6 linked regions of the Macaca mulatta genome follow. The protein of the gene in region 2 purifies or fractionates together with the protein of the main gene of each other region. This does not show direct contact. Links are inferred from orthologs where the notes say so. Each region holds a gene or a part of one and is shown on either strand. Other genes may lie near its edges.

The links.
Region 1: the proteins of STRAP (region 2) and SZRD1 purify together in Homo sapiens (co-immunoprecipitation; 3 studies listed by BioGRID and IntAct, counting the BioPlex papers as one, with this or other methods). This does not show direct contact. The link is inferred for Macaca mulatta from reciprocal best matches to the Homo sapiens genes STRAP and SZRD1.
Region 3: the proteins of STRAP (region 2) and DDX20 purify together in Homo sapiens (affinity purification with mass spectrometry; 3 studies listed by BioGRID and IntAct, counting the BioPlex papers as one, with this or other methods). This does not show direct contact. The link is inferred for Macaca mulatta from reciprocal best matches to the Homo sapiens genes STRAP and DDX20.
Region 4: the proteins of STRAP (region 2) and TGFBR1 purify together in Homo sapiens (affinity purification with western blotting; 3 studies listed by BioGRID and IntAct, with this or other methods). This does not show direct contact. The link is inferred for Macaca mulatta from reciprocal best matches to the Homo sapiens genes STRAP and TGFBR1.
Region 5: the proteins of STRAP (region 2) and SNRNP70 purify together in Homo sapiens (affinity purification with mass spectrometry; 3 studies listed by BioGRID and IntAct, with this or other methods). This does not show direct contact. The link is inferred for Macaca mulatta from reciprocal best matches to the Homo sapiens genes STRAP and SNRNP70.
Region 6: the proteins of STRAP (region 2) and CSDE1 purify together in Homo sapiens (affinity purification with mass spectrometry; 3 studies listed by BioGRID and IntAct, counting the BioPlex papers as one, with this or other methods). This does not show direct contact. The link is inferred for Macaca mulatta from reciprocal best matches to the Homo sapiens genes STRAP and CSDE1.

The regions. Positions count from the first base shown.
Region 1 is NC_133406.1:224,669,015-224,673,057, forward strand, and holds the start of SZRD1 (SUZ RNA-binding domain-containing), read right to left. Parts: upstream 2,801-4,043; 5' UTR 2,786-2,800; coding exon 2,735-2,785; intron 870-2,734; exon of another isoform or gene 479-869; intron 1-478.
Region 2 is NC_133416.1:18,352,832-18,356,937, reverse strand, and holds the start of STRAP (serine-threonine kinase receptor-associated protein), read right to left. Parts: upstream 2,801-4,106; 5' UTR 2,472-2,800; coding exon 2,360-2,471; intron 1,640-2,359; coding exon 1,504-1,639; intron 1-1,503. UniProt on the Homo sapiens protein: The SMN complex catalyzes the assembly of small nuclear ribonucleoproteins (snRNPs), the building blocks of the spliceosome, and thereby plays an important role in the splicing of cellular pre-mRNAs.
Region 3 is NC_133406.1:128,474,561-128,478,060, reverse strand, and holds part of DDX20 (putative ATP-dependent RNA helicase DDX20), read left to right. Parts: intron 1-290; coding exon 291-396; intron 397-516; coding exon 517-618; intron 619-3,338; coding exon 3,339-3,500.
Region 4 is NC_133420.1:59,300,419-59,304,688, forward strand, and holds the start of TGFBR1 (TGF-beta receptor type-1), read right to left. Parts: upstream 2,801-4,270; 5' UTR 2,692-2,800; coding exon 2,595-2,691; intron 1-2,594. UniProt on the Homo sapiens protein: Transmembrane serine/threonine kinase forming with the TGF-beta type II serine/threonine kinase receptor, TGFBR2, the non-promiscuous receptor for the TGF-beta cytokines TGFB1, TGFB2 and TGFB3.
Region 5 is NC_133424.1:61,533,489-61,537,472, reverse strand, and holds the start of SNRNP70 (U1 small nuclear ribonucleoprotein 70 kDa), read right to left. Parts: upstream 2,801-3,984; 5' UTR 2,609-2,800; exon of another isoform or gene 2,400-2,608; intron 1,846-2,399; 5' UTR 1,836-1,845; coding exon 1,689-1,835; intron 1-1,688. UniProt on the Homo sapiens protein: Component of the spliceosomal U1 snRNP, which is essential for recognition of the pre-mRNA 5' splice-site and the subsequent assembly of the spliceosome. SNRNP70 binds to the loop I region of U1-snRNA.
Region 6 is NC_133406.1:125,495,969-125,499,934, reverse strand, and holds the start of CSDE1 (cold shock domain-containing protein E1), read right to left. Parts: upstream 2,801-3,966; 5' UTR 2,742-2,800; intron 1,707-2,741; 5' UTR 1,595-1,706; intron 1-1,594. UniProt on the Homo sapiens protein: RNA-binding protein involved in translationally coupled mRNA turnover.

The sequences.
Region 1 (4,043 bases), on a different chromosome or scaffold from region 2:
CAGGTTGTTTCAAGGATTCAATTAAATAAGATATATTAGAGAACCTGCATTTTGGCAGAGGTGTTCATGATGCCAATAAGGCAAAGTTTGTGTTCCACTTCTGTACTTTTTTTTTTTTTGAGACGGAGTTTCACTCTTGTTGCCTAGGCTGGAGTGCAATGGCATGATCTCAGCTCACTGCAACCTCCGCCTCCCAGGTTCAAGCAATTCTCCTGCCTTAGCCTCCCAAGTAGCTGGGATTACAGGTACGTGCCATCACATCCGGTTAATTTTTGTATTTTTAGTAGAGATGAGGTTTCATTATGTTGGCCAGGCTGGTCTCAAACTCCTGACCTCGGGTGATCCACCCACCTCAGCCTTCCACGGTGCTGGGATTACAGGTGTGAGCCACAGCACCTGGCCGTGGTACATTTTTAAAGGATATTACTAAAGTAAAGGATAGTAGAAAGAACACTGGCTTTCTGCCTCCGCTGCTGCCATGGTTCCTGTGAAAAAGCCTCTGGTGAAGGGGGGCAAAAAAAAGCAGCAGGTTCTCAATCTCAAGTTCACTCTTGATCGCACTCACCCCGTAGAAGATGGAATCATGGATGCTACCAATTTTGAGCAGTTTTTGCAAGAAAAGATCAAAGTGAACAGAAAAGCTGAGAACTTTGGTGGAGGGGTGGTGACCATTGAAAGGAGTAAGAAGCAAGATCAACGTGACATCTGAGGTGCCTTTCTCCAAAAGGTATTTCAAATATCTCACTAAAAAATATTTGAAGAAGAATAATCTACGTGATTGGTTGCTCCTAGTTGCTAACAGCAACGATCGTTACAAATTACCTTACTTCCAGATCAACCAGGACAAAGAGGAGGAAGACAAGGATTAAATTTCATTTATCTGGAATATTTCATATAAGTTATTAAATAAAACTTGGGAACCAAAAGAAAAAAGAAAGAACACGGGACAAGCATTAGAAAGACCTAAGTCTCTCAATCTCACATTTCTAGGCTTATTCAGCTGTTAAATGGGGGACTGCACTAGCTAATTTCTAATTGACTTCACCATTCTGAAAAAGAAAAGTAAGCCCCAATTTCTGCTGAATCCTATTCATCTTTGTTCATTGGCCTCCAACTTCTCTAACATGAGGAACTTATGACCCTTTGAAACAGGTGGGGAAAACCAAAGAAAGGCCAAGATGCCCAAGAAACGTATAATTTGCATGACATTAAAATTGTAAGCCAAGCTTTTTTATAGGGGATGACATGAGGGGTGTCTGGATGATTCACTCAGATTAGTGGTAGGCAGTAAACGCCTGTGCCGAAAATATTGCATTTTCTGGCACAAAGTTACTGGTAAGAACACTGTCTAGCATATAGCTGACACTCAAAAATGCGGGCTGAATGAACAAGGAGCCAACTGACACCTGTTACTCCCTATAAAATCTTTAACTTTCTTTACTTAAGCCAAAACTCAAGAAAGATGGCTGTCACATTAAGAACGCTACTAAATATCCTCTGAACGAACTAATCCTTCAAATTCTCAATTATGCTAAATGGAAAAACATAAACAACCGTGAGAGAAATGCTGAACCAGCGGAAAAACTTCAAAGTCAAGTTTCAACATTCCCCATTCCCGTAGAGCTAGATACACCCACTGACTGCTGCCAGGGTCAATTTCCCGGCCTCTTCCAGGGCTCACAAGCACCCTCAAAAAGCGCTTAGGAAAAAAAACCCAGCGCCTACTCTACCCTGGTACACTCGACTCCTCACACACGTAAACCTTTAAGGTGGATGTCAGTGGAGCCAGCATTGAACAGACACGAACACGAGGAGACGAAAAAGGCATCTCCCCATCTTCACCACAAACTTTGAAAAGACCAAATTATTCACGAATCTAAGAGAATTCACAGATCCTGTTTGAGATAAACTATTTTCCTACAGTTTCTGGAGGCAAACAAAAACTCCCAAAACAAGTCGAACGGTCCATCTCCCCACTCCTTTCCCAGGAATGCGGCTGTTTTACATATCACACCCCTCCCCCGGACTCCGACAAGCGCACTCCTAGACCCTCCCAGGGCCTCGGATCGCTGAGTGGCAGAGGGGCTGCCCGCAGAGCTTTCGGTTGCTTTGGCAGTGTCCCCGTGAGACCTGCCTGCCTGCCCACAAACTCTTCTTGGAGTAAAAGTGAAAGACAAAAAAACCCAGACTCGCCCACCGTGACGGATGGTGGGGGATTTTAGCAGAGTTGAGTAGCCCAAAGAGGACTCAACTTCCCCCCACCCCCCGCCCTCGGCAGCCTCCTCCCGCTTTCCTGCGAAGCCGGACGTGCGTCCCGGGTCTGCGCAAGCCCCCCCACCCACCCACATGGTGTGTCCCTCCCCGTCAGACCACATGAACTTTAAAATGGTGCCTCGGGCGACAGGGCCCGTCGGAAAGAGTCACAGAGGCCTGGGGCCAGCGAGCGGGCGCGGGGGGTCAGGAAAGGAGGCCCCAAGTGGCGGGTGGAGCGCCCCGGGTGACGCGCGCGTTAGTGGGCGGAGGGAGGCGCACCAGGCAAAGGAAAGGAGAGAAATGGATCGCGGCCCCTTTAAGAGGCCTTCACGGCACTCAGGAACTGGGGGCCTCTCCTCCACCCCCAGCCCGGCGTGTGGGGCCCTTCCTTGGGGAGAACTATCTCCAGACCCGCTCCCCGGAGGCTCCCCTCACGCCAGGTCGCGCCCGGCCCTGCCCTGGGGCGGCGGCTCCTCCTTACCCCGCTGTCTGCCGCCTCTTCCCAGCTCTCAGCGACCTCCTCATCTTCCATCTTACTCGCCGCTTTCCCTCCTCCCCAACCCCCTCCCCGCGCCTGCGCTTTGAAGCGCGCCTCCGTCGCGGGCGCAGGCACGCAAGGCTTTACTCAAAGGACCCCGCCCGCTGCCTAGCCCGGAAGAGGCGCCAGGCAAGGTCCCAAGAGTACATTGGGGCAGCCATCTTGGAAGGGGGCAGAGAAGGCGGAAAGATGCCATCTTTCTTAAGGGCCAACGCGTTATCCGTCTTACAGAATGGGAGTTCAAGGGAAGTCATCATCTCGAGTACCGGAAGTGTGTTCTTGGGAACCATCTTTTCTAAGGGCAGGCACTTAAAACTTTTTTTTCTTTTAAAGTGAGTCGTAGTTTTCCTAAACTACAGATAATGGTATCTTCATAATTCTGAAAACATTTTTAAACACCAACAAATCATGAAAAATATCTGCTCATGCAGAAAACATTTTATTATTTCTGATAGGGTGAAAATGATTACATTATTTCCTGCTCATAAAGCAGTATTCTAATCATTTATTAACACCATATCCGCTATCGTAAGGTAAAGACGGTAAAAGATAATATTGCACCTCAGCTGGGACAACCAGTGGGATTCCCAGCTACTAAAGTTCTCCTGGGTCTTTAATGGTAGATAATAAATACGTTAGTTTTACCTCTGAAAATTATTGGCCAGGCACGGTGGCTCACGCCTGTAATACCAGCACTTTGGGAGGCCGAAGCAGGCAGATTACCTGAGGTCAGGAGTTCAAGGCCAGCCTGGCCAACATGATGTAACCCGTCTCTACTAAAAACACGGGGTGGTGGCGCATGCCTATAATCCCAGCTACTCGGGAGGCTGAGGCAGGAGAATCGCTTGAGCCAGGGAGGCAGAGGGTGCAGTGAGCCGAGATCATGCCACTGCACTCCAGCCTGACCAACAGAGTGAGGCTCTGTCTCAAAAAAAAAAAAAAGAAAAAAAAAAAAAAGCCCGGGCGCGGTGGCTCACGCTTGTAATCCCAGCACTTTGGGAGGCCCAGGCAGGCAGATCACAAGGTCAGGAGATCGAGACCACGGTGAAACCCTGTCTCTAATAAAAATACAAAAAATTTGCCGAGCGCGGTGGCGGGCGCCTGTAGTCCCAACTACTCAGGAGGCTGAGGCAGGAGAACGCCGTGAACCTGGGAGGCGGAGCTTGCAGTGAGCTGAGATCACACCACTGCACTCCAGCCTGGGGGACAGAGGGAGATTACGTCTCAAAAAAAAAAAAAAAAGAGGCCGGGC
Region 2 (4,106 bases):
CTTGTACTCTCTAGCCTCTTAAATCTAATAAATTTGTGTATGCACAATAGCTCTTGATATTGCCTTCATCAGTTTAAACAATGAAGTGTCAAATTCCTAAGTTACAAATACCAAGTAGGAACTGGAGAAAACAAGATTTTTAATACATGATATATTCCCAAAAAGGCAACGAGGGCCACTGTAGGTCAGTTTAATAACATAATTAACAGCCAAAAGTCAGAACAGGTAAAGTATATTTCTGACAACAATAAGATTAGTATAATTAGATTGTAGGTTTATGGTGTGCAATGGGAGAGGATGATGTTGATGAACTAGGATGAAGCAAACTGTAAAGGGCCAACAATTGAAATGTGTCCTTTAGGTCAGCAATTCTACGACTGCATATCAGGAAAGAAAAGGAGGGAAGAAAAATTAAAAAAACGCCAATGATCAGTATGATCAGTACTCTATCCCTAAAGACCAATCAAACCAGAATTTCTGTACCAGGCACAATAGTTCACCCCCACAACCCCAGCTCTTTGAGAGGCTGATGCATGGAGGCCAACAGTTTAAGACAGCCTGGGCAACATAGCTAGATACTGTCTATATACTAAAAAGTATTTTAAAAATTTTTCAATGTAGTAAAAAGTGTAAATATATATATGCATAGAGTAAAAAAGTAAAAGAAAAAGTTTTAAAAATCCAAATTTCTGGGACACATACCATTTGAATATTTGAAAAGTTCTCCAGATATTCTAATGTATATCAAAGGTCATGAACTACTAAAATGGCAAAGGGAAGACAGCAAGATCATTAGGTAGAGAAGTGACATGATCAAATACATTTTTAGGAAGACAACTGGCAGCAATATGGAATATGAATAGGAGGAAAAGAAACTACTGAAAGTTAAAAATGATCCTCAACTAAGGCAGTGGCAGTTACTACATGGAGGAACATTGTAGTCAGGAGACATCCTGCTGGCACAATCAAAACAGATGATGATAATCTCGATGTAAGGGAAAATCAAGAATGCTTTAGATTTCAACCTTTAAAAACTTAGGAAATGAAGAGCAGTTGAGTTTTGCTTTGTTGTTGTTTTGTCTTTTTGTTTTTGACACAATGAGTTTTAGTGATGCCTACAGCCAGTTAACAAAAACTGGGATTGAAATAAAAACCTAGGGTCATCACTGTAGGTTATCACTAAGGAGTACACACAGAGCAGCATTCGTAAAGGAGATCAACATTCATTATCTGGAGCGTTTGTTAATGCAGATTCCTGAGTCTCAATCAAAATATAAGGAGTAAGTCATTTAGGCCTCTAAAAATTTTGAGAACCACTGAAGACAAAAGCAGCACACAGGACCACGATGGACCAGGATGGAATTTTGGTGAGATCAAACATCATGCGTTCTATATGGCAGCCAGCGAGTCAGAATTTTATGAATATCTGAGACTGAAGTTTTTGATTATTTCAGGACACAATCTACAGAGAACACCAAAGTTAGCCATCTTGGCTACACTTACGCTGTGAAATCTGCAGCTGCTGTAGCTGCTTTGGTGGCATCCTTATTCAGTGTTGCACCCCAAACAGCACCTTTATGACCCAAAAATGTTCCAATCCAGTCTCCTGTATCTCCCTGGCGTAGCATAGGTTTACCATCTAGAAAATATTTTTTAAAACATGTAATTTATAAGTTCGGATTAGAGTCTAAGATTCAAATGTAAATATACAATGATGTTCAATGACGAAGTGGAAAAATTGTTTCAGCTATTTAACTATCACCACCGATTGAAGTCACTACGGAATGTCCAGTAATAATTAACTGAAGAGCTGAACAGATCATTTTCCCTGAAAAGCATCTGTAATTTGCTGGGAATACTGATCTGCGTCGAAATAACTTAGATTTTAGTCTTATTTTGGACAAACATTGTAGCCTAAATCTGTTTCCCATTTGAAAAATGAGGCTAATACCACAAAGGAATACCCAGTGAGACAAGAGCGAACATCTTTGTAAGGTATTGCACGGCCTGGCCTAATTTCTCCTTTCCCCAAATCCTTGACAGCTATTTACAGTGTTGTCCCGAGAGTCTAGGCAAGTGCTGTCCAGCTCCTTCAAAAATAGCAATAAAAATAAAATAAGGAGAGAGGTCTTAGCTGGGGGTAATAGTTTCTACATAAGCGTCCGGAGGCCTCTCGGCTCCAGCTGCGGATTCCCTAACACACTCCTTTCTCCACCCGACCAGTGTTGGCCCTCATCTCAGATGTTAATATCGCCCCCTCCCCGCTCACCACACCACAGCTCAGCACTGGAGAGTGCGGGTCCCAATCCCTTTCGGCCCAGTCCCAGCCGTCGGGGACCAGGATTGAGGCCTTGCTCACCTTTGCAAGCGCTGATTAAGAAATACCCATAAGGCGTGATGCCACTGAAGGCCAAATCAACCACGGGACGCGTGTGGCCAGAGCAGGTGAGCGGCGTCTGTCTCATTGCCATGGCGGCGGCGAACCCAGCGACCGGACTGGCGAGCTGAGGGTCGTCGTTGTCTTTTCTCTCTTCGGCTGCAGCGCCTCGGGCTCCTCCAGGCCCCCGCCCTGACACTAGGGCTGGGCTGGGCAACAGGAAAAGAAGGGCAATCCGGTGGCACCGAGGTTAGGAAGGGGTGAGGGAGGGGTCAGGGAGTCTGCTACCAGCAAGCAACAGTCGACGAGGGAGGGAAAGGGAGGGAGGGAGGAAAGTAGGGGATGGGGAGAAGCAGAGAACCGGCCCAGCCACGATTCACACCGTCCACACCGGTATCGGCAGGAAGTGACGACGTAAATGACGCAGAGCACCCGCCGGAAATGACGATTGGCGGGCGGGAGGGCGGGCTCGCTGGGCATAAGTGACTTGAAGAAAGAGCGAGAAGTGCAGAAAGACGCAGGCGCCAGTTCAGTGCCCTGAGGTAACTAACGCTGGCCCATGCCGGCTAAAGGAGGCGCTGTAGGCACCGGGATGGGGTCCCTCGCCCGGAGCTCTAGCGGGTCAGAACGCCTTCCCGGTCCGCGGCCGAGTTGAAATCCCTTCCCACTCCCGTAAGCCCAGGGGCCAGCGGCAGCAGTGTACCCGCCGAGCAGCCCTACTGAGGACTGTGCTCGGCCTCTGAATATCTAGACGGACACGAGCCATTCCCAGTGACGGCTCAAACCTGCGAACACTGTCTAGTAACGTTTTTTTGCAATTTGTCTTACTTAAAAACCATATACGGGCTTGGCGTGGTGGTGCCTGTGGTCCCACCTATTTGGAAGGCTGAGGTGGGAGGATACTGGAGCCGGAGAAGTCGAGGCCAGCCACAGTAAGCGGTGGTCGCGCCACTGCACTCCAGCCTGGACGACAGAGCGAGACCCTGTCTTAAAACAAAAAAACAAAAACAAAAAAAAATTCCCCAGCCATCTCTTCTGCTGTGTAAGTTTTCCTATGTTGCTAATGTTTTAGGCATGGATACTATATAGTTTTAAATGCGATTAAATTCAAATTACTTTTTCCTTGGTGGACTTTGGAGAACTCTAGAGTTGTAGATCCCCAATATTTTTGATTAAATACTCTCATCAATAAAGTGAGCCTGCACTCATTTTTTAAGCGAATGAATGCTGAATTCTATCAAAAACTTTTACACATCTTTTGATATGTATACATATGAGTGATAATTTGCAAATTACATACATGGACAAATTAAAAGAATATTTAAATATATACTGTGATATTGTCTGCAGCAGGCAGCCCAGTGTGGCTCTGTGAAACAACCAGAGCTGTTAATTGTTCATACTGTTTACTAACCAGGAGAGGGCTTTTCTCTGGGCAAGTTCTTTATTGCTAGAATGTAAGCCCTATACAACAGAGATTTTTGTGTTTACTACTTCATCCCCAAGATCAAAACGTCTTGGCACATACCAATAAATATGTAATCAACATAAATGTCTGTGAATGTTTTCTTCATCTTTTTGCAGCAAACACCGTCTACAAGATTTGCGTCAAACAACGTGAAAACTTGAAATATGTCTCTATTCTTTTTCCTTAGTACTCTCGTCCATTCACTTACAGTAAAGCACTTACTATATACGTTTTTCATTTTATTTTGTTTGACTCCTCCTT
Region 3 (3,500 bases), on a different chromosome or scaffold from region 2:
TTTCATCTATTATTTTATGTAGGTGTATCTAACAAGAATACCAGAAGATAATTATCTTTCCGGTGCTGAGGAAAATACTTTCTTAAAAATGTCTTTAATATGTTGATCTTTGTCCTTGAAATTAGTCATTAGGAATGAACTTCCTTTTCCTCTGCTCCTCAATATTCTGTTCTTAATTTGGCTCTTGGCTATACTGGAAGAATATAATATGCTGGAAGACTATAATATGCATTGGTAGCTATGCCATACAGTTAATGCAAACAAATAATTGCTATCTTCTTCAATTCAAGACTTCTCGTGGGATTGATGCTGAGAAGGTGAATCTGGTTGTAAATCTGGATGTACCATTGGATTGGGAGACATACATGCATCGGATTGGGAGAGCTGGCCGTTTTGGTAAAAAAAAAAAAAAACAAGTTTGAGTGCTTTCTTTAAGGGGCGGGATCTGTAATGTGACAGGTGGGCTTTGAATGTTATTTTTGTGAAAATGATTTATTACCACTCTCTCTGCTATAGGTACATTGGGACTGACAGTGACCTACTGTTGCCGGGGAGAGGAAGAAAATATGATGATGAGAATTGCCCAGAAATGTAATATCAACCTTCTCCCTTTACCAGGTACATTTCATCTGTTTCATTTTGCTGTCAGAATAATTATAGTGGTGATAAGCATAATAAAAATATTAATAATAGCAAACACAGAGTGCTTATGATGTGCTGGGTACTGTTCCCAGTCCTGTATGTACGTTAACTCATTTACTTCTCACCACACTCCTGTGAGGTGTGTGCGATTGTTTTGTAGATGAGGATATTTAGGCATAGAGAAAGTAAAGGTGTTACAACTAGTAAGTAGTAGGGAGAGGAGTGCAGGCTAACCACTGGCACGTGAACAATGAGAGCTGGCTGGGCGCAATGGCTCACGCCTGTAATCCCAGCACTTTGGGAGGCCGGGACGGGTGGATCACCTGAGGTCAGGAGTTCAAGACCAGCTTGGTCAACATGGCGAAACCTCTTCTCTACTAAAAATACAAAAATTAGCTGGGCGTGGTGGCAGATGCCTGTAATCCCAACTACTCGGGAGGCTGAGCAGGAGAATTGCTTGAACCCAGAAGGTGGAGGTTGCAGTAAGCCGAGATCAAGCTATTGCACTCCAGCCTGGGCAACACGAGTGAAACTCCATCTCAAAAAAAAAAAAAGAAAAAAAAGAAAGAAAGAAAAATGAGAGCTATATTAGCTCATTTAGTTAGTGGCTTTGCAATTTGATTGTATTCTTTGATACAAGGGGGGATATTTTACCTCTTTTAAATTGCTGTGAAGGTAATTCTTATCATATTCTCCTTTGTCACCATGTGGAAGGAACAGCATCTTTAATTTGAATATTATTTTGAAAAATTGGAATGAAATGTTTTCTTTTGATTTCAGTTCAGTCATTCGTTCTGCTTCTTTTTAAGTGCCGTATTGGAAACAATGCATGTTTGAAACTATTAAATGATCTCTTAAAAACAAAAAATTCTAAAAAACCCTTGAGTGGAAATATGGCATGTTTGATGTGCATGTTATACAGAAAATGTGCATTATAAATAGTGTATATTCATATATAGATATATGTCTGTATAGAAAAATACACATATAGGTCACGCCTGTAATCCCAGCACTTTGGGAGGCCGAGGCAGGTGGATCACGAGGTCAGGAGATCAAGCCCTGTCTCTACTAAAAATACAAAAATTAGCCGGACATGGTGGCAGGTGCCTGTAGTCCCAGCTACTCGGAAGGCTGAGGTGGGACAATGGCATGAACCCGGAACGCGGAGCTTGCAGGGAGCTGAGATCCGCCATTGCACTCCAGCCTGGGCGAAAGTGCAATACTCAGTCTCAAAAGAAAAAAAAAAAAAAGGAAAAATACACATACAGTATATACATGACTTTGTAGAATATGGGATATGTAATTATTGAATAAATATAATTGAGTATTTTACCGATTTTATATTTAATTATTTTACAAAGCTAGATTTAGCACAGATCTGGGAGTTCTATGTATTCTAGTAGATCGGGTTAGTAATAACTCATTTTATGATCTTTTACAAATCTCTAATTGCTCTAAGCTTAGAGTCCTGATTTGCAAAGTACTTTAGAGTAAATGGTCTTTAGGCTCTATGTCAGTTCTAAAACTGTCAATTCTTTCTGTGTATAAGTCTATTCGTAGTCTGATATGGGAAAAAAATTGAAAATTGGTAGAAGAGGGTTAAGACTTCTTGTAGGATTCAGTATCATAGCATCTAGTGATAAAAATTGCCTTTGGATACTGGAAAATGATATATTTGGATCTTTATATAATGTTAACAGGGCCCTGAAATCATGAGAAAATGATATTCATGCTGTTAGGTCTATATTGAACTGGGAACTTGTGTAACAACAGATGTTCAGATGAGTTTCCTGGGGCAGAACTAGGAGGGAAATTGGCCTGTATTACAGGACTAGGCACGCAAGGGATATCAGCTGAGTAGTAATGAGAGTTTTAATCATAGAATCTGTTCAGCAAAGGATCAAGAGACTTCATTGAAGTTTCCAGACCTGTTGGATTTATAGATAACATGGAGCATAAATAGCAACAACAGGCAAGATCTTTGTAAAGCAGGGGCTTGATATATCTTGTCTGCCTAAGACAAAAATTGATCACACTTTGAAAGTTCTGAGTGCTGGAAGCAAATTGTCACACCTGGATGGAATAGAAAATTTAGAGGGTTGAAGCCAGCAAATTCTTTAAAAATTAGAAATGTCATTTCTAATTTTCATAGTCACCAGATCTTTTCATAGTTATCTAGTTTTTTTCCCCTATAGAGGTTTTCTCTCTATTGTTAAGGGCAGTAATTTCTCCCTGTTGGAGTATTGGGTGACAGATTTAGTTGGGTGTACAGCATTGCAGTTGTAATAATTCCTAGTCGATAAGCTTTGGGGAGCACAATCCATTTTCTGATATCTTGTTTTGCTGTCAGAAGTATTCAGATAAAGGGGAGGGGCTGTGGAGAGGGAGGAGAGAAAAGATGGGAGAGTTGCAGCAGACTTGTACATTATTCCTAGAGTAAGCTCTTTTTCTAGTGAGGGTGAAGGGAGATAGTGCTTGTGAGTATGGGATGGGTCTTAGGTATTTCTTAGGCAGATTTCTTTATTACAGGATTGCTTCAGTTTTTAAAAATATTATATCTATTAAACATCTTAGTATATTTGCATATTTTGTTTCGTAAATGTATTCGATCATAGAAAACTTTATGAAATCATTCAGAAAACAATGGTCTAGAGTAGCTTGAGAATTTTAATACATTTGTTTTCCTTTTTATGTAGATCCCATTCCTTCTGGTCTGATGGAAGAATGTGTGGATTGGGATGTGGAGGTTAAAGCTGCTGTGCATACATATGGCATAGCAAGTGCACCTAACCAACCCCTAAAAAAGCAAATTCAGAAAATAGAGAGAACCCTTCAAATTCAGAAAGCTCATGGTGACC
Region 4 (4,270 bases), on a different chromosome or scaffold from region 2:
CACACTCCCATAACAGGGGCAAAACTAAACGTGTAGTGAAAAGGCTGAACAGTCAGGAGTCAGTGAGAAAGAGAAATTGTTTGAAGGTCTGCAGTCATGGGAAATGAGATCCCTGGTAAGATACTCAGAGATGGCCCCAATCATAAGCTGCTCAAGTGTGGTTCTAAGTGCTGAATACAAATGGGAAATCTTATAAACCTTCATGGGGATGGCTGAGGAAGATTAGTTTGGCAGTAGCCCATAGAAAAGCCTAGATGAGAGAAACATGGGAAAGCAACTAGATTTGGAGGATAACAGGCAGGATTAAGCTGAAGGCTGCATACCAAGAAAGGAGGAGACATTCAAGAGGCATTCATAGAAAGAAGAGTTGGATTGGGGGCATGTTTTCAAACAAAAAAAGTTATGAAATGGCAGAAAGGAAGCAAACAGCATTCTCAGATGGGATATAAATATAGACATAGTGGTACTAAACTGTGTACTAGGGACAAGGAATCCATTTCCCTAGAGAAATCTATGTTGGAGAGAGAAGTTGGGCAGACAACAATAAAACATACTCAGAACATAAAAAAGTGCAAGTCTTTAAAAGAGAAGCCAAATTACTGAGGGGGAAAAAAAAGCATTTGACCTTTTTCAGAATGTCTTTTAAGGGTGGACTGAGGCATCATCATAACCAACAAGGAAGGCAGACAAGCTGAGGCAGTCTGGGCTTACAGTAATAAGCACCTGGACAGCTTTGTATTGTGTGCACGCCAAGGAGACTGTAAACTTCTCCAGGACATGGACTGAGCAATGTTCTGTATATTCAACTAAGTCCACTACTGTTACTTGAATACATGAACACTTCTTATGCTACTTCTGGTGGAAAAGAATGCACTGTGCTATTCAAGTTAATAGTGGTGTGGAAATGTTACCTGTGTTTCATGCCTAACTATACTGATTCTCCCAAATGTCCACACAGTTATCTTGCCTTCCTCCCTAGGCCAATATCAAAAATCCATTGTTTCCTCTAATGCAGGAGGCCCACGTGAAGGGACTCAGGAATGTGCTAAGAGTCGGAATGAAGCCTATCTGATATTCAAATCATGAGGACAGAATCTAAAGTGAATAATAAAGACCAATTGCTCAGCAGACGACTGAAGAAGAAAAATGGGCTACGCCAGATAGTATGATGTATATATATTAATATATAAGATATACAGGTTTTGAAAACTGAGATCTGAGTGAAAATCCTAGCTTTAGCACTTAGTTATTGGGTACTTAATGTGTCTGCACCCCACTTTTCACATCTGTAAAGTGGGGCAAATGCCACTACTCCTGAAAGTTTAGTTGTGGTGATTAAATAACGTACTTATACAATTGTGTACTTTATGCATTTACATCGCAGTAATGCATAATACATAGACGGTAGCTATTACGACTAATTATAATCGTCAGTCTTGATTTTTTTAAAAAAAAATTCAACATCTTGTGTCCAGTTTCAGAAACAGAAATGTACTTTCACTGCATTTTAGTCGCTAACACTGAGGCTCTCTGTATTTTAGCTTCTAGTGCCTCAGTTCAGCTGCTAACAAAGTTTTTCACTCATCCCTTCGAGGATGCCAACCACCTACCCCAACCTGATTTAATATTTTGAAAAATTCAGCGAACATTCTTCCTTGAAAACCAGCTACACAGATGTCTGATTCAAACTATTAACTGTCACTCAAGAACAGGAATATCGCGAGTGATGGTCTTTCGAGGAAATAAAAAGCGTTTAATCAATTCACAGTCATTCCCAAAATTTCCAAACCCCGCAGAACGAGCAAACGTTCAAGTTTCCACTACGAAAACAATCCGTAGCCTTCTGGTTACTGGACTCACTTCAACACTCCCCAGACGCACGAAAGAAGAAACATTCCGCGCATCTCCGCGCTTCCTTCTTCTCACACAAAGCCCCCCTGGCTGGAAGAGCAGCCCCTTCCAGCAGGGTCGGGTCGGGTCGGGTCGAGCCGGGCGGGAGTTACGGCGGCCTGTGGACCCGGGGGGTCTCACCACACTTCGCCCCCGACTCCCACTGGCCGAAGCCCTAGCGGCTCGGAGCTCACACCCCGCCCAGCAGCCGCCTTCCACCCCAACCTCAAACCCCGCCCCGGGCCCGGCAGCCTTGGGCACGGACCCTCTTGGGGCGGGGGTCCCCGGAACAAGGTCACGCCGTGCCGAGGGGGCGGCGGCGGGCAGCCACCGCTCTGCCAGTCCCCGCCGGCCTCACACTCTCCGCCCCTGACCCTCGCCCACTCACACCCCAGAGGGCAGCCCCGGACCTCGGACGACTCCGCCCGACTCCACCTCCCCGGGGAGTCCCGAGCGGGGCGGCCTCGGGCAGCAGGACACGTCCGCCCGCGCCCGGACACACGCCCCTGCCCCGCCTCCGCTCCCCGCTTGCGGTTCGCACGGCGGCCGCCGAGCCCCGCGAGGCCACGAGAGCCCGGCCGGGCCCCGGCGCAGCCACCTGCGCCCCCGGCCCCGCGCCATGTTTGAGAAAGAGCAGGAGCGAGCCAGAGGCCGGGCCCGGCCCGCGCGCCCCGCAGTCGCCCGCCCGCCGTGCCGCCGCTCACCCGTCGCCCCCGGGAGCAGCGCCGCCGCCGCCGCCGCCGTCGCCGCCAGCACGAGGAGGAGCAGCCGGGGACGCGGAGCAGCGGCCGCCGCCTCCATGGTCCCGCCGCCACCGCTTGTGGCCCGGCCCGGCCCGGCCGCCGCCTCACCCCAGCAAGCCTCGCCTCGCCCCACCTCCCCCGCCGCCGCGGCGGCCTCGCTCCGGCCCTTTGTAACTGCTCGGGGGACGCGCGTCCATTGGCTGCCGGGCTCCCGCCGGCCCCGCCTCCCCGCCGCCGCGAGCGGCCGAGCGGGACCCAGCCGGGAGCCCCGCCTGCGGGACCGCCGGGCAGCCAATCCACAGCCGCGGGTGCCGGTTTCTGGCCACGCCCCATGCTCCCCGGGGGCCGGGCCGCCAGACCGCGGCCCCGGCCGGATCCGCTGTTGGCTCCCGGCTTCCAGCTCCCAGAGGCCGCGTGGGGGCGGGATCTGCCAGCCAGAGCACCGCTGAGCCGCTAGTCCCGGAGGGCCGGGTAGAGCGATGGGTGTGTCTGTGTGAGTCTCTTTCGGAAAAAGGCTGTGGCCGCTCGAGGCTCTTTTCTTCTAACCTCCTCTAGGCGCGGAAGATCTGGTACTGCCTCAGCCCCACCCTGACCCCATTCACAGCCCCGCACCGGCAATCCCAGCACATGCCACTCCGATCCGCTGCAGCGCCAGGCCCCAGCATCCACTTCAACTTCCCCTCTCCAAGTCCACGCATCAACTTCAGCTTTCCCCCGAAGATCCCTCTTCAGTGCCCTTCACATGCGACTCACTCTCCTATTTCCTCCTGCGCCCAGCGGTCACCCCAAACCTAGCTCCCCCACCCAATTCCAAACCTAGAAAGTCCTCAGATCCCAGCCTCAGACCCAGATCCTGAGCCGAAACACACCTCCAAATAGCCTCCCGCCTCCCTCCAGCACAGACCCAGGATGGGGATCCAAACCGCTCTCCTCTCATCCCCATTCCCGATCCAGGTTGGAAAGGGAGGGTCCCCACCCCAAACCCTCAAAGGAGAGGTTCCCCCTTCTTAGCACCCAGCCCCCGTGGGGCGGAGGGGGAGCAGTCATCATTACTTTGAGCTGTGTCTGACACTCCTGTATAATAATCCTGAGGTGTCACTAAAAACCCAAATAAACTCTACGTTTTCATTCTGAATTCCTAATTTACTGCGAGACGCTCCACCCACCTTCCCTCTGCGACGCCAAAATGAGCTCCAGATTTGTAATTCTTCCTGTCAGACTAGTCCTTTCTTCAGACACAAACACAGCCAAGTAGGCTGTTACGTAGAACAGAGAATATTTTTCCGCAGAACCTTTTAAGGAGGAAGTTTTATTTTCTGTGTTATTTGAGCTTGGAATTAAATAAACCTTGATAGCAGGAATCAGAACCAGCCTCTAATGCCAATTTGTGCACTACTTTAGAATCACTGGGTGAGCATTTTCCGCACCTGTGAAGGCTTCCTTCCGGGAGATGAAAAGGGAAAGGGCGTGGATTTTGGAGCTAGGATCTGAGACCCGCGCACTTTCTCCCTCCTGTCTAGGACACTTACTTAAGCAAGTCAGCTAACCTTTCTCAACCTCCAACAGACTCAGAGGCCTGCAACTTGCTCTAGACCGCAGCTCCAGCAGCCTCAGCAACAAACATCCCTCTTGCTCAG
Region 5 (3,984 bases), on a different chromosome or scaffold from region 2:
AAAAAAAAAAAAAAAAAAAAATTAAAAAAAAAAATAAATAACTAGTAACTGAGACCAGGCACGGTGGCTCACGCCTGTAATCCCAGCACTTTGGGAGGCCAAGGTGGGCGGATCACGAAGTCAGGAGATCCAGACCATCCTGGCTAACACGGTGAAACCCCGTTTCTACTAAAAATACAAAAAATTAGCCGGGCGTGGTGGCAGGCACCTGTAGTCCCAGCTACTCCGGAGGCTGAGGCAGGAGAATGGCGTGAACCCAGGAGGCGGAGCTTGCAGTGAGCTGAGATAGCACCACTGCACTCTAGCCTGGGCGACAGAGCAAGACTCCCTCTCAAATAAATAAATAAATAAATAGAAACTGGCACATGACCTGCATCATCAAAGGGCACCTACCACCGCCTGTGCCCATTAAGTTAATTTAACTGGCCAGTAACACTTCTCAAATGCGGGTTCACCAAGGGTGGCAAATCCCACTGAAGATACACCTTTCTGTTATCTATGAACTTCTGCTGTGCAACTCCCTCGCCTCCAGCTGCCCTTCCCTACGCAATGCCAGAATGTTCTTGTAACTTCTGGCTATGTGCCAGTTTTTCTCAGGTGTGCTCTGATGCACCTAGGAGAAGACCTTTGTCATCCCATTTCACAAATAAAAACACAGAGGTCCAGGAGCCTAAGTCATTCATTCCTATTTACCCCGAAGGTGCAGAGCTAAGATCCCCATCTGCAGTTTTAAGTCCTCCAATACTCAATACTGGGTGCTAAGTCTTTATGAACATCATCTTATTAACAATAAAAACAGTAAACAAAGTAACAAAGGCTGACACGTGCTGACTGGTTGGTGCCAAGCCCCTGATATACACTTTGCCATTTAATTCTCCAGCATTATGAGGGTGCTACCACTATCCCCTTGCTAAAGATAAAGAAACCAATGCATGAAGAGGATACAACATTTGCCCAAAGTCAGAGCTGATAAATGGTGCGGGTTAAGTGCCAATCTTCAACCACTACTCACTGAATTTTCACAAAAATTCTACAAAAGGGGTACTATCAAACCCTACTTTTTTTTTGAGACAGTCTTCTTCTGTTGCCCAGGCTGGAGTGCAGTGGCACGATCTCAGCTCATTGCAACCTCCACCTCCTGGGTTCAAGTGATTCTCGTGCCTCAGCCTCCCAAGGAGCTGGAATTACAGGCATCATCATGCCCGGCTAATTTTTGTTATTTTTAGTAGAGACGGGGTTTCACCATGTTGGTCAGGCTGGTCTTGAACTCTTCACCTCAGGTGATCCACCTGCCTCAGCCTCCCAAAGTACTGGGATTACAGGCGTGAGCCACCGCACTGGGCCACAACCCCACTTTAAAAAAAATTTTTTTTTTTTTGAGAGACAAAGTCCTGCTCTGTCACCCAGGCCGGAGTATAGCGGCACAATCACAGAGCACTTCAGTCCCCAACTCCTGGGCTCAAGCAATCCTCCCATCTCAGCCTCCTGAGTAGCTAGAACTACTGCTGCACTCGACCACACCCGGCACCCGGCTGCAACCCCATTTAAAACAGCGAAACTGAGGATCACAAAGATTAAGCCCCTCGCTTAAATCACACAGCTAGCAAAATAGTCAGAGGCTGGACTCGCAAATCCAACCCCTTGCTCCCCAGAACCCAAACCATTCCTGGCCTGCTCAGTGAACTCACCTCAAACTCTCGAATGTACGGCGCAATGCCACAGTAAGGTTGATTGTGGTGTTTTTCATGTGGCAGTTTCTCCAGGGGTGGCAGGTATGGGATAGGGTCACGGGGGGCAAAGAGGGCCAGAAGGTTGGGCGGCAGGAACTGGGTCATCTTGCCAAGTCTGAGAGCAGAAGCAGGACAGCCTTAGGTTAGATCGGGTCTGCAGAGAAAGCCCCTATTACTCCTTGACTCTCAAAGTAAGAAAGAAAGGAGAAAAGTCTCGGAATTAAAACAGGCTTTGTAACGGCAGAGAACGGTCCTGTGTTACGGAGAAAAGGGTAAAAGTCTTGTTGGAGGTGGAGGTGAAAGGCCGGTAAAAGACACAAAAATAAAGGCTGAAAAAGGGTTCCTGAGTAGTGAAGTCTCAGAGTCCTGAGACACGAGCTGTGGGGCGGAGAGGTTGCCTGGGAATTTCTGGGGGAATCAAAGACCCGAGGAGGGAGGCCCAGGGCAGTTGTGGCTGCTCGTCCCGTACCGTGGACAGCAAATTACTAGACGCAGTTTGCAAGGGCCTGGGGGTCGGAAGTCTCCGAGCAAAGAAAGAGAAACATAAGGAGCGAAGCCCCAAAACCAAGCGCTTGTGGGTAACAGATCTGGGCCCCGCAAAGGCGAAAGGAATTATGGGTAAGGGTCCAGGACAACATAGAAAAACGAAAAAGAAAAAAGGCTACACACCGCAAGGGCCTGTGGGTAGGGAACCGCGAGGGCGATGTGGGGACCGGGCGTGGGTGCCCAGAGAACTCGGGGTCCGAGAAAGGGATGCAAAAGTGACCTGTGGCGAGGACGCGGGAAGGGGGCCTGGCCGCGGGGAAGAGGCCCGGGCCCACCGCTGGGGCTTCTGGGTAGCGGCCCCGCTCCCCGTCGGGCCACTCAGTCACACTCACTCGCCGCGCAGCGCCCTCCTAGCTCTGGTGTCTGTCCGGAGGCTCGCGGCGGCTGCGGCGGCCCCTCAGCAACAACAGCTCCTGCTTGGGCTTCCACTCTGGGGGCGTCCGCGTCCGTCTGATTCCGTCGCCCGCGCAGCGAGCGCACCAGGCCGCTGCTCAGGAACCCGCGCGGCCTCGGCTAGCGACTGGAGCAGGGGGTGGGTCCCGGCCGCAAATCCCTCCGCCGTCTGCACTGCGCACGCGCCGCGCGAGGCCAAGCTCAACCCACACGCTGGGACCCGGCGCCGCCGCGGCAACAGCGCACGCGCGAGGTCACCACCCCGCCTTCGGGCACCTTGAGTATTTCAACCGCCGGGAGCTGGCGTCTGCACTGCGCGCGCGCGCTTAGCCCCAAGCCGCCCCTCCACCTCTCGCTTTCCGCTCCAAACCGCCTATGTCCGCGAGGCTCTCCCTGATGCTCCGCCCCTTTCCAATCACACTTCCCGGATCTTGCGCGCATGCGTTCTGCGTAGGGAACTATAATGTACCTCTCCGCCGACTAGCAAAGAGTCCCTAAGTGAATGGCCTGATTGCGTTGATGTTTAATCTAGTCAATCGATAACTGTTCATCGAGCATCTCGTGTGTGCTAGGCACTGTCTGGGCTTTGGGGCTACAGCACGTGATTAAAGCAAAGTCTTCTCCTGCTAGGGCTTACACTGTACTGGGAGAGACAATAAAAGCATTTAACTGAGTAAAGATAATTTGAGGCCGGGCGCGGTGGATCACGCATGTAATCCCAGAACTTTGGGAAGCTGAGGCGGTCGGATCACCTGAGGTCAGGAGTGCGAGACCAACCTGACCAACATGGTGAAAGCCCGTCTCTACTAAAAATACAAAAATTATCCGGGCGTGGCGGTGCGCGCCTGTAATCCCAGTTACTCGGGAGGCTGTGGCAGGAGAATCGCTTGAACTCGGGAGGCTGAGTTTGCAGTGAGCCGAGGTCGTGCCATTGCACTCCAGCCTGGGCGACAGAGCGACTCCGTCTCAAAAATAAATAAATATAAAAAATAAAAGATATTTTGAGATAGTGGCCAGCATAATGAAGAACGATGGAGCAGAATAAAGGGATGGGAAATGAGAGCGAGTCTATTTTGATAATGGAAGCCTCTTCTGAAGAGGCAACATTTGAACAAAAACCAGATAGAAGCGAGATCTGGAGGGGGGGAGGAGCGGGGGGTGGTGTTTAACAGTTTAAGTGCAAAGGTCCTGAGCGAGGACCAGATGGCAGAAATCTCAGGTTGTTAGCCATGAGATCAGAGAGCTGGCACTTAAGCTATTTGGAGCCCTGTTGTTAAGTATCTTCAGTTTTGTGGATAGATTCAATAGCCTGTTT
Region 6 (3,966 bases), on a different chromosome or scaffold from region 2:
TTCAAGTGCACAACAGCCACACGTGGCTGGCAGCCACCATGTTCCACAGAGTAGGTATAAACTGAGCAGGGGTCTAAAAAAGCACTATTGTGCCAATTAGCAACAGGAAGTAAATGTAAGGGTCTTGAGCAAAGATTTTCACTAATAAAAGTAGGCAGTATCTAGCACAGAAGCTTGTTGTTACTAAATTGGAGAAACAGAAATGCAAATAACTGGTTATGTACTGATTGTAGCTGCAAATCAACGGATAGCTTACATGTGCAACATATGGCAACTGATAATTTTCAGTCACACAGTTTTACCTCAGCATAAAAGGACATTAAAATATTTAAAAGTTTTGTGTTCTTTTTAACTAGGTACCCACACATGCAAGTGGAAAACATTCTAATATCAAAACAAAGGAATTTTTAAAATCCTGACTGGGCAGAAGGGTTTAACAGCAAGTCACTCTCACCCATAGTAGTTTCACCACTTAAGACAGTCTAGCTATTAAAGCTTACAAAATAGATCTCAAAGTGCTTCCTCTTCTGTTTTCTGCAAAGACAAAGCTAAGAAGAAAGCACATCAATTCTTTGTGTTTAACAAGATCAAGATATTTATCTCATTTTGCAATACAGTCCTGAAATGCAATTCCTCAAAAATCTGTCCAAGAGAACATCGGTCCAAAATTTCCATGTTTTAACTACCTTGTCGAAAGTATGGCTCTCACAACAGTTTCAATAGACTTAGTGCCACTGAACTCTACAATAAAAAACATTGGAACACTAAATGTTATGTATATACTCCAGCATAATTTGATATTTTAGCATTTTGTTTGTATAAAACAAAAATCGATGGCCCTACACGATGTGTCTTCGCGGGGGGGGGAGGGAAAAATAAGGGTAGGGGATAAAGCCGGACTGCACATCAGCTTTCACACTTTCAATTTTGATTTGCTAGGACTTCACCAGATTTTCACCCACACTCGCTAAAGGTCATACTTAAGTCAGAACTTACTCACAAAAAAAGAAAACCTATCTTCTGTGCCTCAAATACTTTAGTTTTCAACTCAGCTGCTATAAATACTCATCTCGATGGTAAACATCCAGAACAGCTGCAAAACCAAACTATTAGCTTCTCTTTTATTTTAGTCCCAGGGCTAAAACGAAACAAAAAGAAAGCCGAATATTTATCCAGGTTTTATGACTCAGGTATATGCCTATTCAAGTATATAAACCCCCTCCTTACCCACACCAAGGATATACATTATTGGATATCAATACCAAAATAAAATCAAGGTATGTATTACAGTGCCCCTCAATGTAGTATCAAGAATGTTTGCCTTTACTCAAAATGAAAATTACTCAGCATTTTAGAAAAGTGTAGCTTGTATTTGTGGGTTACAATTTGAAACCTACATTTTAAAAAAGTAGGTTAGTAGCAGTGGCTGAGAACTGCCAGCTCATACCAGCCTGATGAAAATTTAAGCCTCTCAAAAAGATTTAACTACCACAGTGCCTTTGAGCATTCTCCCTCTCCGCCCTGCCTCCCAACTGTTTAAAGAGCGCCACATTCTTTTACTCATTTAAGGTGCAAAACACGAAAATTAACTTGCCTAACAACGTTCAGATTTTCTTTGCAGATTGAAGCCTGTTTCAGGGAGCGTTCTCTGCTTCACCTGTGAGTTAAACAAGACGGCCGCCATCTGGGTGTTTCTAAGGGAAAACCTTAAAGCAAAAGAACCTTGGCACTAAGATTTCGTATTGATAAAACATCATGGTAAAAATTTGAAGCTGTCTCCCACGGGGGAACTTCAAAAAATTCTACATACAATGACGAAGCCAGGCAGTTCATTGCACAATGTGGGCCAGGCGCTGGCACCATCAGAGCTAGAGGAGGTGGAAGGGAGGACACTACTGAGCTTTCAAAAAGGCGCACGCCCTTTCCTCAAGATAGAGGGGTGGGAGCCACGTGCCTAAAAGATTAGGGACTGGTTCCCTTTCCCAAGAAGCCGAAGGGGAGACAATGCGGGGAAGGTTGGGTGCTGAGACCCTGCTCTAGGTGACTGGAGTAACGATGTCAATTCCGCCACGCTGCTGTACCAGATGTGGCTGGGGAAAGCTGTCTTTAAGCACTACCCCTAAATATCTAGATGGAGCGGGGTCTCAGTCTATACACAAAGAAGGCGCCACTGCCGCACTGCGCTCTGGTACTGGTAGTCAGATTCCCAAGCAGGTAATGGCCAGCAAACTATAGGGTCCAGAGTCAAAGCAGGCCCCTCTTCTCGGTCTCAGGCTCTTCCAACCTCACACAAAGGACCGCGCCACCACCCCCTCGCCCCGCCCGCCGGGACATGTAGTTCCCATTTCCCCAGCCAAGCGGCAGATGGGGAAGCCGCCAGACTACAGCTCCCAGCAGCCTCCGCGCCCGAGCCCCGCACCCTATGCCTCCATCTTGGCTGCGGTCGGAGCCTCCATTTTCGCTCCCTCCCCCCACTTTAGTCACCACCACCACTACCAAAACGCGCAGCCGGCTGGCCTCGACTCCTGGTTTCAGCTCTGCGACCTGACGTGAGGCCCAGGCAGTTGAACGGGAGACGTATGAAAAAGCTCAGGGCAGGGAATTGGGGTGCATTCTTCCCCACCTAGAGCTCTACGAGTGCCTACCTTGACTCAGAAAGCTTTCCCCTTAGCCTTGGTCTTATTCTCAGCCCTTCCCCTGGGTTTTTGCTACCCCCAGTTGGACCCTGAGGTCGTACTCACCCCAACAGCTCAGCGCCCCCTCTCCAGCGCCGCCATAAGCAGCACGGCCCGGTACGTAGGAATAAATCTCGCTTCTCTCGCGAGAGTTGCGCGCTCCGAGCTCGTGCACGAGAAGGGGCGGAGTGAAGCGTACTCTCAATACGCTTGCGCAGCAGGGCTGAGTGACGCCAAGCAGTTTGCTGCACTTAACCACAACCAACATGGTGGCTGCATTCCCTTACATTCCTTCTTGGGTGTGCTGCGGGAAGCAATCTGGGTGTTTACTGACTCCTCCTGGACACTACGGGTGGCGGGTAGCTTTAGGCGTCTCTAGTCTTTGAGCGTTTGAATACGTTTTAGCCCACAATAATGGGGTAAACCTTGAAGGCGAACAATTCTGAGGGCATATCCAGGAGTCATAAAAAATGATTTATCTTTTCGCAGCAAAAAATCCAGAAGGGCCTCACACTCGTTTCTTCTCATAGTGCAAGCATTCTTTCTTACATCTACTGCATTAGACGAATTTCATTAGTATAGAGTCAGTTTTTTAGCAAGGTAATTTGGAAATCTAAATGAGACCTTTGTTTTCCACGAACAACATTGCAACAGATGCACAAGAGTGAGCAAGGCTGCATAATCACTAAACAAAATGAAACAAATTCAGTCAACTGACCTTTCAAGTTACCAAAGATATTCCTGTTGTGTCAGGTAATCAAAGAGGGTGAATCAGTAATTAAAAGGTTGAAATAAGAGCAAAGAGATGATTCATCCAATGGGGGAAGAGGGAAGGAGGAAAATGGGTAATTATGACCACAGGAAGTTCAATGGATTATCCCCTGTCAGACAGTACAGCATGCTCCTCTGGTGAGAGGAATGCTTTTCCCAGATTCAATGCTTCTATTTTCACAGATTCACTGGCTCTCTCACTTGACAGTATTGGAAAAATAATGAGCAGCCAGTCTCCTGAGTACTCTCCTACCCACTTTTTGCTTACAACACATTTATTTGACATGTTGTATGTGTAATCACTGGGAAGTGTACAGTTGTAAAGAAAATCGGATGTAGTCTTGTCCTCAAGGAACTTTTAGTCTAGCATCATTAATGATCACAAAAATAAATCCAAACGTACACACTGGAATAAGTGCAATGACGGAAAGATAACCTTCAATTCAAACCTCTTGAATTCTAAGAGGAGGCCGTGTCCCATTTCTGTTTAAAAATTTCTCTCCACCTTTGTTGCTGGTGT